Elephas maximus indicus: one gene and its partner. The protein of the gene in region 2 purifies or fractionates together with the protein of the main gene of each other region. This does not show direct contact. Links are inferred from orthologs where the notes say so. Each region holds a gene or a part of one and is shown on either strand. Other genes may lie near its edges.

The links.
Region 1: the proteins of RBPJ (region 2) and RITA1 purify together in Homo sapiens (affinity purification with mass spectrometry; 4 studies listed by BioGRID and IntAct, with this or other methods). This does not show direct contact. The link is inferred for Elephas maximus indicus from reciprocal best matches to the Homo sapiens genes RBPJ and RITA1.

Annotation. Positions count from the first base shown.
Region 1 is NC_064840.1:11,328,704-11,336,091, reverse strand, and holds the start of RITA1 (RBPJ-interacting and tubulin-associated protein 1), read right to left. Parts: upstream 3,098-7,388; 5' UTR 2,890-3,097; intron 2,328-2,889; 5' UTR 2,196-2,327; intron 1,571-2,195; 5' UTR 1,522-1,570; coding exon 1,220-1,521; intron 961-1,219; coding exon 453-960; 3' UTR 1-452. Other genes in the region: ATP-dependent RNA helicase DDX54, read left to right, coding at 3,196-3,369, 6,089-6,218. UniProt on the Homo sapiens protein: Tubulin-binding protein that acts as a negative regulator of Notch signaling pathway.
Region 2 is NC_064823.1:136,632,543-136,640,751, forward strand, and holds the start of RBPJ (recombining binding protein suppressor of hairless), read right to left. Parts: upstream 3,031-8,209; 5' UTR 2,983-3,030; coding exon 2,924-2,982; intron 2,764-2,923; exon of another isoform or gene 2,712-2,763; coding exon of another isoform or gene 2,692-2,711; intron 1-2,691. UniProt on the Homo sapiens protein: Transcriptional regulator that plays a central role in Notch signaling, a signaling pathway involved in cell-cell communication that regulates a broad spectrum of cell-fate determinations.

The DNA of each region.
Region 1 (7,388 bases), on a different chromosome or scaffold from region 2:
GGCTTCTAGACTCAGCTGGAAATGACTCCTGAGCTGCAAGCTCGGCTTGAAGTGGGGGAAGGAACCTTTGGTCCCAGTTGGCAATCACATTTATTCACACTTGGCACCAAGACCACGTTGTAGGCTTGGTGGGGGAGGGAAAGGGTTCCTCCCCTGGGGGCACCTGGGTTGGCACTGATATGGAGCATGGCTGAGACAAGAGAGGCATCTCAAGGACCGCCTCCCAATCCACGTCAGGAAGCAACTACACATTGTCAGAATGAAGGGAGGTACTGCCCACCATGCTTTCCCTCACCATCCCCTGGGTGCTTCTCCCATACTTGGGAGACTCCAGTCTGGGGCCAGAGGCTAGCGGGCCTCTCTGGCAGAAGAAGCCACCATCAGTGCTATACTCTGAAGCCGTGCCCTTCGCTATGACCCCACAGGCAAACCCAATGCCAGGACCAGGAAGCTCATTTCCAAGGGGGCTTTGGTGTCTGGGGGGCCCTACCACGTCGGGGAGTGGCTGGCACTGACACACTGATGGAGTGAGCCCTGGGAGTCACCAGGGGGCTCCGGAAGGTCACCCCTGACAGCGGAGACCTGGGGTCCCGAGGCCCATTGGCACGGGGAGGGCTGGCACATGGATGAACAGTACTGGGAACGTTCAGGTGGGTGAGAGACTGGGATCGTCCCCGCCGCAGAGGGTCTGGAGTGTCTAACCCATCCAAGGGTAGCATCTGGGAGTGTGCCGCCACCCTGGGCTCTGTTTTGGAGGGACTGGCTGGGTGGACAGCTCGAAGCGGGGTTTCCCTGGGCCGGGGTGAGTGGCTACCCTTGGGAGTAGCGGGGGGTGTCCAGAAGAGGGCACGGAGTTTTGCAGCATCGCCCTTTGCCATCCATGAGGCCTCCCAGCCAATGCCCCCAGGTCGGGGGCCAAACAGCGACTCGTCACAGTAAGATGGAGTGTGGCTGATCAATCTGGTGGAGGGAAGAGAAATGCAGTGAGCTGGGAGAGAAACAACCCCCAAAACCTTAACACTCCCTCCAGCACCCACAACAGCAGAAGGGTTGCCTGCAGATCCCAAGAGTCCCTGTTCCCCAGCCTGGCACCACAGTGCATCCTGTCCCAATTCCCCAGCATGTGCCCCCGGCCTGGCCAATCAGTTCCCACAGCAGGTCTGTCACAGGAATGCAGATGGCTGCATTGAGTACAGAGTACAGCTCCCTACCCCGCTACCTGTATTTGTTCTTCTTTCTTGGTGTGAGGGTAGGGGTGCTGCCCCTGGGCGGGGTGCTCTCATAGCTCTCGTTGGCCCCCGAGGCCTGCAATGCCCCTATACTCATCCCCCTGGTTCTGCTGGTCTTTTCCACCCAGGGCGGGTCGAAGTCTGGTGGGGTGGGTCGGGTACCCGCAGGGCTGCCAAACAAAGTCTCATCCACGTATGACGCCCTGGCCTTGGGCCGGTGGCCACCCCGGGAGCGGTGCTGAAGGTGGAGGGTCTGCATCCTGTTGATGGCCAGCTCCACGGGGGTCCTCATGGCTTACACTGGGTGCACTCTGAGTGCCAGGCCCTGCCTGCAGGGCTGCCTGTGAAAGAGGATGGTACCAAGTCAACAGCAGTGCTGCTGAGGGAGACTGGTAGCTCCGAATCCCACTGACTCCTCTGGCTGAGTCCCGCTAGCAAAAGGGTATAATTCTCCCTCAACCAGTCCTCCTAAAGTGAGCGTTGCCAACCCCAGGGGCATTCTGGCAATTCGTTGGGGGTGTTTCTAGTTGTCACAGTGATGGTGGGGTGGGGCTACCGGCAAATAGTGAACGAGTGAATAAACAGATGAATCGAATAGTTTGCCTGCATGCTGTGGGTTCTCAATTTATGTAACAACTGGGAAGATGAAAGAATGATGGGGTCTGTGTCCATTTGAAACACACTACGGTACGGCAGGAGGGGAAACCCTGGTGGTGTAGTGGTTAAGTGCTTCGGCTACAAACCAAAGGGTCGGCAGTTCGAATCTGCCAGGCGCTCCTTGGAAACTCTATGACACGGTTCTAACCTGTTCCATAGGATCACTATGAGTCAATATCGACTTGATGGCACTGGGTTTGGTTTTTGTTTTTTTGGATGGCAGGAGGGGGAGAAGGGCAGGTCCGCACTCACATACCCTGTGTATATTTAAGAGGGTGGGACTATTGACCGCCAGTATTGACCACTTACCTCCTTCCAAGTGGTTGTCAACCATCCTCTCATTTAATGCTCTCAACAGCCCAGTGAAGCAGCTTCGATTATGTTCATTTCACAGATGACAAAATAGCCTTCAAAAAGTGAACTCAGATGTGTAGGCAACGCCTGGAAAGTGATGGAAAGGACATTTGAATCTTTTATGAATTGAGAGTGGTTCCTGGGTGGTGCAAATCGTTTGTGCTTGACTACTAATGGAAGGGTTGGCAGTTCGAACCCACCCAGAGGTGCCACAAAAGGCAGGCCTGGAAATCTGCTTCCATGAAGTTTAGAGCCAAGAAGATCCTATGGAGCAGTGCTATTCAGTAACATATGTAACTGTCATGAGACCGAATCCAATGAACCCGTTTGATGTGGGGGTTTTTTGGTATGAATTGAGAGCCTGAGCACTTAACCTCTCTAGTATTTTGGTTTTACTCCTCCGATTCCCCGCTGCTCCCTGGTTAATGCCCAAGCTCTCTATATTCTTGAGTTATTCTCTTACCTGGGCATCTCGGCTGGCAGCCAGCCCCCAGCCCCCGTCTCGAGCGCCCCCTCCCCACCAAGTCAGGACCCCATTGCTGGGGCGCACGAGCACCCAGGGCGCCCTATGCATCTGTGATCGCACTTCGTTCGCATCCGGGAATCCCGGAGCCCAGGCCGCCCCGGCCCCCAGCGCGGATGCACTCACCCGGGACAGCCATGCCCTAGCGACGTGTGCTCGGCGCGCGCTTCCAACAACAACCACTGCGCAGCGGGGCCGAGGCGGCTGGAACCATTCCTGCCTGGCGGCCGCCCCGCTCCTGACGCCCCCGGGGACCTCCCAAAGGCAGGAGACGGTCCCCTGGCAGGGCGGGGGTTTACGTGCCAGGCTTCCGGGGCTGCGAAAAGCGGCGGGGGCGCAGCCAGGGGCGTGGAATGGGCTCCCCCCGCCCGGCCACGCAGTTGGTGCGGCCCGCAGGCTCCGCCCCCTTCCGTCTCCGTCCGCCGGGCCCGCATGGCGGCCGGCACGCGTCCCGCGGCCGGATCCCGGTCCCGCGCGGCCATGGCCCAGTGGCGGAAGAAGAAGGGGCTCCGCAAACGCCGGGGCGCGGCCTCCCAGGCCCGCGGCAGCGACTCGGAGGACGGCGAGTTTGAGATTCAGGCGGAAGATGACTCCCGGGCCCGGAAGGTGGGAGTGCGGGGCTGGGATACGCGGGGGGGCCGGCACGTTTGCGATCCGGGCGCTGAGAGCCGTGCTGCCGCGGCCTCGGTTTCCCCGCTGTGGGGTGGACACGGCTGAGGGTAGGGGTCGGGTCCGCCTGCCCGGCGGCCTGAGCATGGGTCTCGGGGTTTGCCGGGGCTGGAGACTCCCGGTTCCGGTGGCCCGTGCGGTGCCTGCAGGCGTTGCAGCCTGGCTTCTGATAGCGCGCTACCTCATTGGCTACCTTCTGCCCAGGGGGCGAGTCCTAGCCTCCATTCGTCCAATGAAAAGTGCGGGTGAAGGTCTGACTTTGTGAGTTTGGGGGATTCTTGGGAGGTTGCTGTAGGGAGAGGGCTGAGAGACTCACGCCCCTACATCTCCTGGAAAACTAATAATAAATGAAACTTGGCGCTTGTTGAGCGCTTACCACGTGCCGGACCCCGTGCTAAGAGCTTTTTACTTGCCTTATTCAATCCTCACACCAATTCGGTCATCTAAGTACTGGGATCCCCATTTTCCTGACGAGGAGACTGAGACCTAGAGGGGTGAAACAAGTTGACCAAGACCTCACAGTTTGTGAGTGGCATGTTGTTGTTTTGTGCCATCGGGTGGATTCTGACTCACATGCAGAGGAGGACTGCACTCCTTGAGAGCAGGTGCCAGATGAGACCTCGTTCCACCGTTTCCCCACCCCAGCCTCATCAGGTGCCTGGCACACAGTAGGTGCTCTGTAAGTGCTGAAGGCACTGAACAGCACAAGAGGGCAGAGATCGTAGTAAGTGCCAAAGAAGAGGAGCTCACACAGTCGTTCAGACCCATGGCTTTGTCGTGACGCAGCCCTGCGTTCAAATCTGCCCCAACCTTGTACTGGTTGTGGGACGTTGGTTGTTGTTGTTGGGTGCCGTTGAGTTAATTCCGACGCGTAATGACCCCGTGTGACAGGGTAGAACTGTTCCATAGGGTTTTCTAGGTTGTAATTTTTACAGGAGCGGATCGCCAGGTCTTTTCTCCTGCAGAGTTGCTGGTGAGTAAGGCAGGTAACCACTGACCTTTTGGTTAGCAGCCGAGTGCTTAACCATTGCGCCACCAGGGCTCCTTTTGTGGGAAATTGGAGAAGGTGCTTAACCTCTCTGTGCCTCGGTTTGCACATCCATGGAAGGCAGGTGATTTTATGTGCCTCGAAGACTGTGGAAAGGATTAAATGACAGGGTATGTACGTTTATGCATCCCTTCAGTGAATATTGCTAGGACATCATGTGTTCCTGCCACTTTGTTTTTGTGTACCTAGAGCAAGAAACTCAAACCAAACATGTTGCTGTCAAGTTGCGATTCCAACTCACAGTGACCCTGTAGGACAGAGAAGAACTGCCCCATAGGGTTTCCAAGAAGCAGCTGGTGGATTTGAAGTGCTGACCTTTTGGTTAGCAGCTAAACTCTTTCGGCCCCCCCCCCGAAGAAAACCAGTTTATTTGACAAACGAGAACATGACTCCAGAGATATAACCTATTGTCTTAGTCATCTAGTACTGCTGTAACAGAAAGTAGGTGGCAGCCAAACTCTTAACTACTGTTTCACCAGGGTTCCTATCTAGAGCAGGGGTTGTAAATTTTTCCTATAAAAGGGTGTGGTGGTAAATAGTTCAGGCATGTGGGCCAGTTAGTCTCTGCCTTTTTTGTTTGAATTTTTCAGTCTTTTAAGAAATGTAGAAACCATTCCTAGCTCACAGGCTGTACAAAACAGGCTGCAGCCTTGACCTAGAGAATCATAGTGGAAAGAACATAGACCCTGAAGCCAGTATTCAAACCCCTGAACCCCACTTGCTGGCCGTATGACCTTGGGCAGGTCACTTCCCCTTTCTGAGCCTCTGTTCCCTTCTCTGTGAAATGGACATAATAATAGTGTCTATCTCACAGCCCTCCCAGGGCTGTGATGAGGAGTAAGTGGGTTAATTTATGTGACTGTTCAGAGAGGCACCTGACGTATCGTAAGTGTAGTGTCAGTTTAAGCTTATTATTAATTAGTGCTCCATAAATGTTTCTGAGAGGAAAGGGATCAGCCTTATAGTCTGAGAAGGCTCCGCAGAGGCGGCATCCGGTTGGATTCAGCTTAAAGGACAAGTGGAACCTGGACAGGCAGAGAGAAGGTCAGGGGAGACAGAGGCCAGAGTTGGGGTGGGGTGAGTCAGAAAGGAGATTGGGGAGGGGGCCAGCACAGCTTGGAAGAGTAGTACCTTATACAAAGTAGGTGTTTTCATTGACTTCTTACAGGTTTTAATTTCGAGAGCTCTGAATGACAGGCCAGGGCGATGGTGATGATGTTGATGATAGTACTACCAGCTGTGTGCTGGACCCTACTCTAAGTTTTCCACTTACCCATTTAATCTTCACAACAACTCAGTGAGGCAGATGCTCTTGTTATCCCTATTTTCCGATGTGGAAACTGAGGCTCAGGGAGATTAAGTCACTTGCTTGAGGTCTCACAGCTGGTAAGTTACAGAACTGGGATTCAAACCCAGGCAGCGTGTCTCCAGAGTCCACGTTCTGAACCTCTGGCTTGTCCTGGCCCAGGCACAGGAGAGACAGTTAGCAGAGAAATCATGTGATTTGTGAGGATAATTGGTTTGAATCAGGGAGAAACTGGCAACAGGACAGTCTCTTCTCCTGCCCCCAGCGCCTAGAGTGATGCTGCCTCTGTTCTTCCCTTCCAGCTGGGCCCTGGCAGACCGCTGCCCACCTTCCCCACCTCAGAATGCACCTCGGATGTGGAGCCAGACACCCGGGAGATGGTGCGAGCACAGAACAAGAAGAAGAAGAAATCAGGAGGCTTCCAGTCTATGGGTGGGTTAGCCAGGCATCCGGGGGCCTTAGGGAAGCAGTAACAGGGGTCATCATAGCCTCTGCACTCGATTACTGATGTCTGCGCTGGGCCCAGCACTGTGGTGAGTGGCTGAGGCAGCAGACATGGTCTCTAGGCATTCAGGGCCTGACACGTAGGAGAACAGTCAGAGCAGGACTTGGAAAAGGCAATGCCAGTGCAGGAACAGGCAAAGACATTTGGGGATTTAGTGCACGACAAAACTGCATTTCACACCAAGGGGCAAAGTGGATTAGTTGGGCAGTGGTGTTGGAACACCAGGCCAGCTCTTTGGAAATAAAGCTGATCCTTCTGCCTTGCTCTTTACAGATCAGTAGCAGCTGGAGCAAAGATTTGAATGTCAAAGTGAATATTTTTATGATCTTAGGAGGGAAAAGAAGGCCTTATAAGTGTGGGCACTACTTAGTCTCACTTTTTTTTTTAAACTAAGCATGCATTTGGCCAAAAAACACTATAAACAAATTAAAATAAATGCCGTATTTGTAACCTATGGGACAAAGGGTTGGTATCCCTCATATACAAAGAGTTCTTTCAAATCAATAAGAAAAAGACAGATACCCTGGTAGAGAAATGGGAGAAGGAAATGAATAGACAGTTCACAAAAGGAATCTTAGATGGCCAATTGATAAACTGCAAAGTGTGCTAAGCTTCATCAGAAATCAAAGAAAAACAAGTAACATCTACGTATGGCAATATTTTGCCATTCCGAACAGCAAAGATGAAAAATTGACCAAAAAGTGTAGCTAAGGCTGTGGTGCTTTCCTGTCTCCAAGCTTTTCCAGTATCCTCCCATCTCCACACTCTTGAGTCATATTTAGTCTCCAAAGGCTGCCTCCTCTCCCATGTGTCTCACTTCTCAGCACCCACACCTGCACCTTGTCCTTAACACGTTTTTTAAAAATATTTAGAAAATTTCAAACATAATTAAAAAAGAACCTAGCACAGTACAGTGAGTCTCCAGGTACCCATTACCCAGCTTCAGCAGGCTGTAACAGTCAGCCTTGTCTCATGCATATACTCCCCACCCCTGGGTGATTGCAGAGCTGATTGCAGACACCAGGCCATTGTATCCATAAATTCCTCGTATATGCCTTTGAAAGATGGCAGTATCTTCCCACACCTAAAACAGACAG
Region 2 (8,209 bases):
CTCAAACAAAATTTTTTTCTAATATCCTACCCATTCAGGGTTAGAAAGATTATTTAACGAGTTACATCTGGCAGGAGTGGCTTTTTACTCAAACCATTTTTTTTTTAATCTTAGCCGCTTAAAAGACAATAATAGACTGATACAGAGCAACAGGTAACTTTGTAACAAACGCAACTGCTTAAATTCAAATGCCTAAAAGCGCACATCTGAATGTTCTGAAAATACTGCAAGTGAACTGCTTATATTTTTCCCCGAAATATATTCCCCGCAGACTTATCTGCAATATGCATGAACAATAAGTTAAAAAATTTAACAATCAATACTCAGAATATAACTTTCCCAACCACTATTCAACCTGTATACTTCTAAATGTGCTATTCCGGATATAATTTAATAAAGGCACTTCTTATTTTGGTCATGAGATAAAGGTCTTACATCAAGAAACAGTATACGATTTAGAAACAGAATACACAAGTCTTAATTGAAAAAACTTTATAAGATGTTTGCGTGATCATTCTCACGTGTAGAAATCAAGGCAAATGCCTTACATTATTACATGATATTTACATTTTGCTTACAGTCAGAGTCAACAGTGTGTGCTCAAGATTTACCTTCAAAAGCCTGATGATGCACTATTTAAGGACAAATAAGGGAAACAAGTAGTAATTCCACTCATGGAACCCAAACCGCAAATTTTCACAAAACCTCATGTGTCAATCATGAAACTATGCTTTTTCCATTAATTAATTCAACTACTAATCCCAATCAAAGTCTTCAGACAAAAAATATGCTTTCTAATGTACCAATCAATATTTGCATATCAGATCTTGTAAATCTCCTATCAATAGCACTTTACGGGGGCTTTAGTTTACAAATGAAATCACTGCCTCAAAATGATTTTATGGTTACCACATCTTCTAAAAGTACTGACCAACTAGTGGGGGAGGAGGAAACTCTTAACCATTATATTCTGTGCAGTAATCCTGGTAAGTCTAACATTTCATAGTCCAAACACCAGAATAACTCAGGCCATTAAAATGCCACCGCCCCCACACACAACTCCATAACAACAACAATTTAGAACAATCTAATAGTATTTAGGAAGTGAATGTAACTGCCTTTAAGGTGACTTTATTTCAGGCTACTCCTTATGTATCTTTTAATCACATCTGATTTGACATAGTCCACAAAGACCGAAGAAGCATTATTCACCAGCTAGAAACTGCACTCTTAAGCGTTTTCCTCATTTCAACCCCAAAGGACAGGAGAGTTGTCACAAATCTACAGAGCAAAAGCAAACAAGTGTAATTTATATCTAATAATCAACAATAACAAAAAAAAAACTAAAATATGTGTATCAAATCAATTCCCAAGCAGAATGCCTCCCTTTTCCTTACAAAGGAGTTATTGGCAAAATAACTAGACTCTAGATCTAGATTCTAAAGAATACTGAAATTCTCCATCTCAACATTCACAAGTTTTAACATCAAAATTCACCTAACTCCTACTCGCACACCAAATGAATATACAATGTGGGTATCCGAAACGAGTCTCAAATAATATGTCTCCCTCTAAACGTACTACAATAGCCTTCGCCCAACCACAGGTAACCAGATGCAAAGCTACAGACAGCTGCCCTTGGCCCAGACCGTCAGAAACCAAGAGGTGGGGGCAACAACCACCAAGAGACCCTATCTTTTTCCAGGGCTACTGTTTCCAAGCAAAACAATCACGGGCCCAGAGGGACAGCGAAGAAAACTGGAGACGCCGTAACCCCAAGAGAAAGGGGTGCGGGGGAGAGGAGGGATGCCGAGAAAGAAACGAAATATCTTCGCGCATCATTCAGATCCACAAAAACAACAAACCGTAGGATTTGCACGTAGAAACACCAGATGGAGTCCCCGGGACTGAGACAGTTGAGGAGACAGACACCATGGGTAGCGGATAAATGACCGAAGGGGGGGGTGCCGAACGAAGAAAAGCAGCCACTGGATGGGGGAGACAAAGCCTATGGGGGTGATCAAGGACCAAACAGAAAGGCTGGAGAAGAAACGAATGAGAAAAACAATGGAAGAAAAATTAAAAGACAAAAATTTGCTACCTGGGCTGTGCCAGGTCACTGGGCTGCCGAGCAGAGGGGGGCAAAACAAAGGGGCACGAGAGGAAGGGCAGCGGAGGAGAGGAGATGGGAGAAGGGATGCGGGGCGCGACGGGTCAGACAAAGCGCCCAAGGCGGTGAAACAAAGAGCTGGGGGTAGAAAATCGCGGGGGGCAGCGAGTAAAGACAAAGCGCCCGGGACCGGAGCACCCGGCGGGCGAGGAGGCGACGGCGGCCGGGAGGAACAAAGCTGCGCGGGGCCGGGAGGCAGGGCCCGCGGGCGGCGCCAGCCGCACGGGCGGCGCGCGGCGGACACAGCGCCCGAGGGCCCCGCGCGCTCGGCAGCACTCACGCCCGCACCCGCCGGCCTCCCAGTCGCCGCCGCCCGCCCTCTCGCGCTGGAGCCCGAGCCACGGCGGCGCAGAGTGGACAGCGCACGGCCACACGCCGCCACCGCGCTCGGCGCACGCGACACCGCCCCCGCTGCCCCCCGACACCGAGCGCACCGCGGCCCCCGAACCCGCCGCCCGCCGCCGGCTGCGAGACGGCCGCAACTTTCCCCGTGCCCAGCGCTCAGATTCCCTCAGACTTACCCTGTCACAACAGGCGCCATCTTCCACAAACTCTCGCCAAAACTCCAACCCTCGCGAGATTCCCCCCGACGCCTTCCCTGGTCCCTCTCCCCCGCCCTTCCCTTTTTCCTCACTCCTCGAGTCCACCCAGCCCCCTCGCTCTTCTTCCCCTCGCAGCCGCCGCGAAGAGCCAGACGCCTCGCGCCGCCTGCCGAGTAGGGGATCCTGCTTGCTGCCGTCCCTGGAAACCTACCCAAGCGATGGAGCATGCGCAGGCGGCTGCCCCGCGGGCGAGCCCTCCGTGTGGTCCATGGGGAGCGCTCCGGTTATCCGGGTTTTGGGACGCACCCTGAGGGACGTACGTGGAGACTGAGGAAAACTGGAGGGGATTACAACTGGGACGGGGAATGGAGGGGTCAGGGGGCGGGGCCAAGGGGAAGGGAGGAGGGGTCCTGGGAAAATCTGCCGCGTTCCACAGGCCTAGATGAAACACCTCCTCAAATGGGTGTTTTCCAAGTAGCTTCCCGCTCACTCTGGGTTCCCAGCCTCTTTCATTCATTCAAACGTTCATTGGACGCCTCCTTTATGCTGGTCTCAGCGTTAGATGCTGGAGCTACTAAAACGCCTGGGCTTAGGGCGAGTGGCATACGAGGAACCTTCTTCATTCATTCGACACCCAGACTAATGGGAGACGAACGTTACAACATGGTCCGACCCTACAGAGCTCTGCACACGGAAAACTTTTGCAGTTGAGCCCTGTCGCCTTAGCTTCTTTCTCCTTGGGTGCGAAATGAGGCCAGGTCAAGGCCTCTGGCAAAGGCATCCACCTCACACGCACACGCCAGAATGTCGAGTAGTTTTCTCCAGAAGTGAAAACTATGATGGAATTGAGAGCCGCCACCACCCAGCCCGGCCAGAGGGCCGGCTCAAAGCTGGCTGCCGTCGGCGTGAGCAGCAGCCGTGAGTGACCCCAGGTCAATAGGGGGCCGACTCTGCACAGAGCACCGGGCCTCCCCGGGGCCTGGCACAGCCAAAGACCCCACCGCTGCCTGACACGTACTTCAAGGGGTTTAAATCCGGACGACTCCCCCTAAGCCAACTTGGCGGGTCTGGGCATTTAATAGAAAGGTGCAGGGCCTGGACCCCGCCCGCCCTCCCTGCCGCCCTCCTACCCCACCCTCGCCCTTTCCTTTCCTAGAGATTCCCAGATCCTGCTCTGCCTCCCGCAGGGAACCCCAAAACCCGGAGAACTGGAATCCTCCGGCCGAAACCTGCTGAAGGCGCTGCAGGATTGGCGCGGCACACGCGAGAGGCAGTGCGCATGTGCCCAATGCAGGCAGTTCAGTCTCACGCTACACCTCCTTCCCACCGCCTTCCACTACTCCGCTCAGACACAACACGGGCCGTGGGAAATTTCCTAAACCTCGCGAGAACGCGCCCTCTGTTGCCTATGCTTGAGCCCCAAATCTCGCGGAGCGCAGGCTGGACAGGTGTTTGTCTTTTGCCGCTCCGGGCGCTGTTCGTGCCGCGCGTGCCCGGGCGGCTGGCGGCGAGCGCAGGTGGGGTGGGAAGGGAGCGGCTCGCCGCGGAGGCGGGGCAGGTGGGCGCGTGGCAGGCCGCGCAGGGCGGAGAGCGGCTGGGTGGGAGGCCCGACGTCTCGCACACACTTGCAGGTTCCTTGACTCTGCATGCAATAAAGGGTGGGGGCATGGGGCCTCTTAGGGAAGAAGAGGAAACAAGGAGTTTAGGAACTGCTCTCGGTGCAGAGGGATAAGAGGTCAGACTACAGGGCAGGAGGAACCCCAGGCCGATCTCCCGGGGAGGTTTCCTGTCTCCTTTCACGAGTCTGGTACTTTCCTACAACGTGTTAGACACTGCGGTCCCCGCCTCCGGAGCTGACGGACAGCCCCCAGTGTCGGATTTGAGTCATACCTCTGAGTCACCTAGCCGGGCCTCCACTTCACTTGCATTAAAACAAGTCTGGATTCTCATCTACCCTGGGGCTTGTGAGTTAGGTAGAAAAAAATAAATACATGTTGCTCTCTGCGCTCTCTCATTGTTGCTTTGTATAGATTCTGCTTCCCATTCAAGGACACGATTTTTCTTTTTTTTTAGATCATCCCCTCCTCAATCTCTTCCTAGCCTTTTGAAATAGTCCCTATATATCAGTTTCTGTTCTTTTTTTTTCTTCCTCCCCACTAATATGACATAATTTTGGTTTTGCTTTCCTTCCCCTTTCCATGTTTTTTGTTGAAAGACTCATTCCATTTTAGGTATCCTTTCGTCAGATCCCTTAGTGACCACTGTTTTAAGTCCGTCCCTTTCTTTTGGATTTTTTATTTTGTTCAGTGAGTTCCTGATTGCGTTTCTCAGTCAGGCTCACTTCAGACTGGCCTTAGTATGGTTTCTGTACCAGCCTAGCCTAGCCTACCATTGTCCAGGAACTGGTGTCTTGCTGGGAACATATTGTTGGCCAGCAAATGTAGAATTGAATTTTGATTCCTGGAGGACAGTGAGCCCTCTAGCAGGAGCTCAAGTTCTGCTGGTTGTATAATGGTGTTATAGGAGAAAACACATAATAAAGTTGAGTAAAGTAAAAAGAAAGTTTTATTTGGCATATATTCAAAAAGGCAAAAGTGGGAAGTGGACAAGCATGCTGCCGGAGCTACTGTCTGCCCCAAACCAAGGAAATATAGAACAGACAAAGGTGGGAAAAGGGACAAGCATACTACCACAGCCATGTCTGCCCAAGTCCAAAGAACATTACAGAGTCGTTAGTATATATTAACACTATAAATGGACAAAACCATTGAAAGCTTCACCTTTTTACAGATTGGCTAGAAACTATGATCCGACATTTTGAATTGTCCCTCTCAACAATCATTGGTACAGGTTTCAGTAAAGACGGTAAGGAAGGTCTTCACTGGTCCAACAAATTTTCTCTTCACTAAATGCTAATAGAAAAAGATAAGAGTGGAACGTCTTTTGTGTTCTGGCTTAAGTGAAAGATTCCCTAGAAGATCTTTTCCAAGATTATCTGTTGTCTTTATACCTCAGGGTTCAGTTGATGTGTCCTTGTGAGTCCTTGTGGGCCCAGCTGCAGCTGGGTCACATTCTCTATGCTCAAGGATAGGGAATAATGACTCCAATATTATTTCCTAGATCAATGGGCAGGAAATTAAATTTTTGTTTGTGCTGTTTTCATGGTTGTTAGGGGTGTGTGTGTGTGTGTGTGTGTTGTACTTGCCTGTATCTTTTGATTACATAGGGTCTCTATGAGTCAGAATTGACAGCAATGGGTTTTTGTTATTATATATTTAACACAGAAGAAGAAAAAATACAAAAGAATTTAATATAATATCTCAAAGTAAGTCTGATTTGAAAGAGAATAGCTCAGGAGGAGGACAATGACCTTTGGGCACATATTCCTTGGAGCCTTCCTTTCATGAAGCCATTTCCATTTTGGTCTAGTCCAGGCCACTGATCTGTTTTGGAACCATGGCCATCTGAGAGCTTCAGCATCCTTGGAAAATAATGGTAACCGTAAGTCTAATCACAATTCCTTAGGGTAAAGTCTAATCAGAACTTCAACCTAAAACTCTGCTCTAAAACATGGTCAGTCTATAGTCTTCGCCCATCTCAGTAAATGCCAACTCCATCCTTCCACATACTTAAGCCAAGAAGCTTGGTATGTTCTTGTGTTTTTTTTTTTTTTTTTTTTCATACACCTAACCTCCAGTCTCACAGAAAATCATGCTGGTTCCATGTTCAAAATATAGGCACAACCCAAGCACTTTCCCACCTCCATGGCTACCAGCCTGGTCCAAGCCATCTCATTCTCACCTGAATTCAGGAAGTCTCCAAACTGCTCCCCTTTCTTCCATTCTTGCCTCCCCATAGCCTCTTCTCACAGAGTACTCAGAGTGGCCCTGTGCTCAGAAGGTTCCAATGCTTTCCTCATTTCACTAAGAGGTACTTCAAGATCTGGCCTGCTACCAAAAGCCCCTGACCTCTGACCTCACCTTCTCCTCTTCTCCCCCTTGCTCACTGAACTGTGACCCTGTGGCTTTCTTGCTGTTCTTGGGACACAGGAACACACTCTCAACTCTAGGCCTTTGCTCTTTCCAAAATGTTTGTCCCTCAGACACCTTATGGCTTATTCCCTCACTGCCTTTACTGCAAATGTCACCTTGTCTCAGTGAGACCTTCCCTGACCACCCTTCAAAAAAGTGACTCCCTGTACTCCACATCTTACCTATTCCATTATTTTTCGCATGGAATTTATAAACTAACACACCATATATCCTACTTGTGTATTGTGTTTACTGTCTTCTGCTATTGTGTAATCTTACTGAGGGCAGGGATTTTTATCTCTTTTGTTCAGTGTTCAAGCCTTGGCCACAAGAGCAATGCTAGGCATCATAGTAGGTACTCGGTATTTGTGGAATGAATTGGGTGTCTTCCCCTTTAGGGCAAAGTAGAAATGATTCCGAAGACTCACTAAGCCTTCTAACATTCAAGACAATATTGGGTATGACCACTGATAAGTGCCCCAGTACCAGCCTGCCTGAGGAGGGGGAAGAAGTCTACAGTACCACCTGTGTTAACTTGATGCAAAAATGAAAGTTCTTATCTACAGATTAGACCTGTAGAACAGTAGATGAGGCCACATTTACTTTAAGGGTTTCCTTTACTCTCCATCTTAGCACCTCAGGAAAGAAAACACTGTTGGCAGGATATATAAAAACAAGCATTCTTATAGGTTGCTAGCGAAGTGAAAATTGGTATAACGTTTATCGAAAGCATTTTGGCGAAATATATCACTACCTTCTAATCCTACAATTCTGTTTCTAGAAATTTATCCTACAAATACGCTCACATATGCAGCATCAAATGTGGTAGAAAATATTAGTAACCTTCTAAATGTCCATAAGGAGATGCCTTTTTTTTTTTTTTAATCATGATATATTCATAGAGTGGAATAGTATGTATCTATTAATAAGCAGAGGTTTTTTTAAGTGTATTTATGTGGAAGGCTCTCAAAGGTATACTAAATTTAAAAAGCAAGGTGCAAAACAGTGATAGATAAATGTACAGTTACTTGCTGTGTGTGTCTAAAATGGCTCTGGAAGGACTGACTAAGAACTGTAGTAGTGACTGTATTCCTATAAAGGACTCAGTGGCTGGAGGACAGAGATGAAGAGGTGTCTGTCTGCTGTCTTGGATCTTTTGAACTTTGTACCATGTGTGGGTATTGCCTATTTAGAATATAAATCATTAAAAAAAGGAGTGCGAGAAGAAAAAAAAAAAAAAAGAGACCAAATTGTTTCTTTTCTTCCACTTCCTAATAGAATTATTTTCTAATGAAAGGTAAGTAGATGGTCCACCATCTCAGTAAAATTAAGAACCACAGACCTGCTATCTTAGCACCATACCACAGTCTTTTGTTAACACTGCACTCATTGTCCATTCAAACAGCACGTTTTGAGTACCTGCCATAACGTGTCAGACATCATCTTTAGTGGTTTACAAAGTTGAG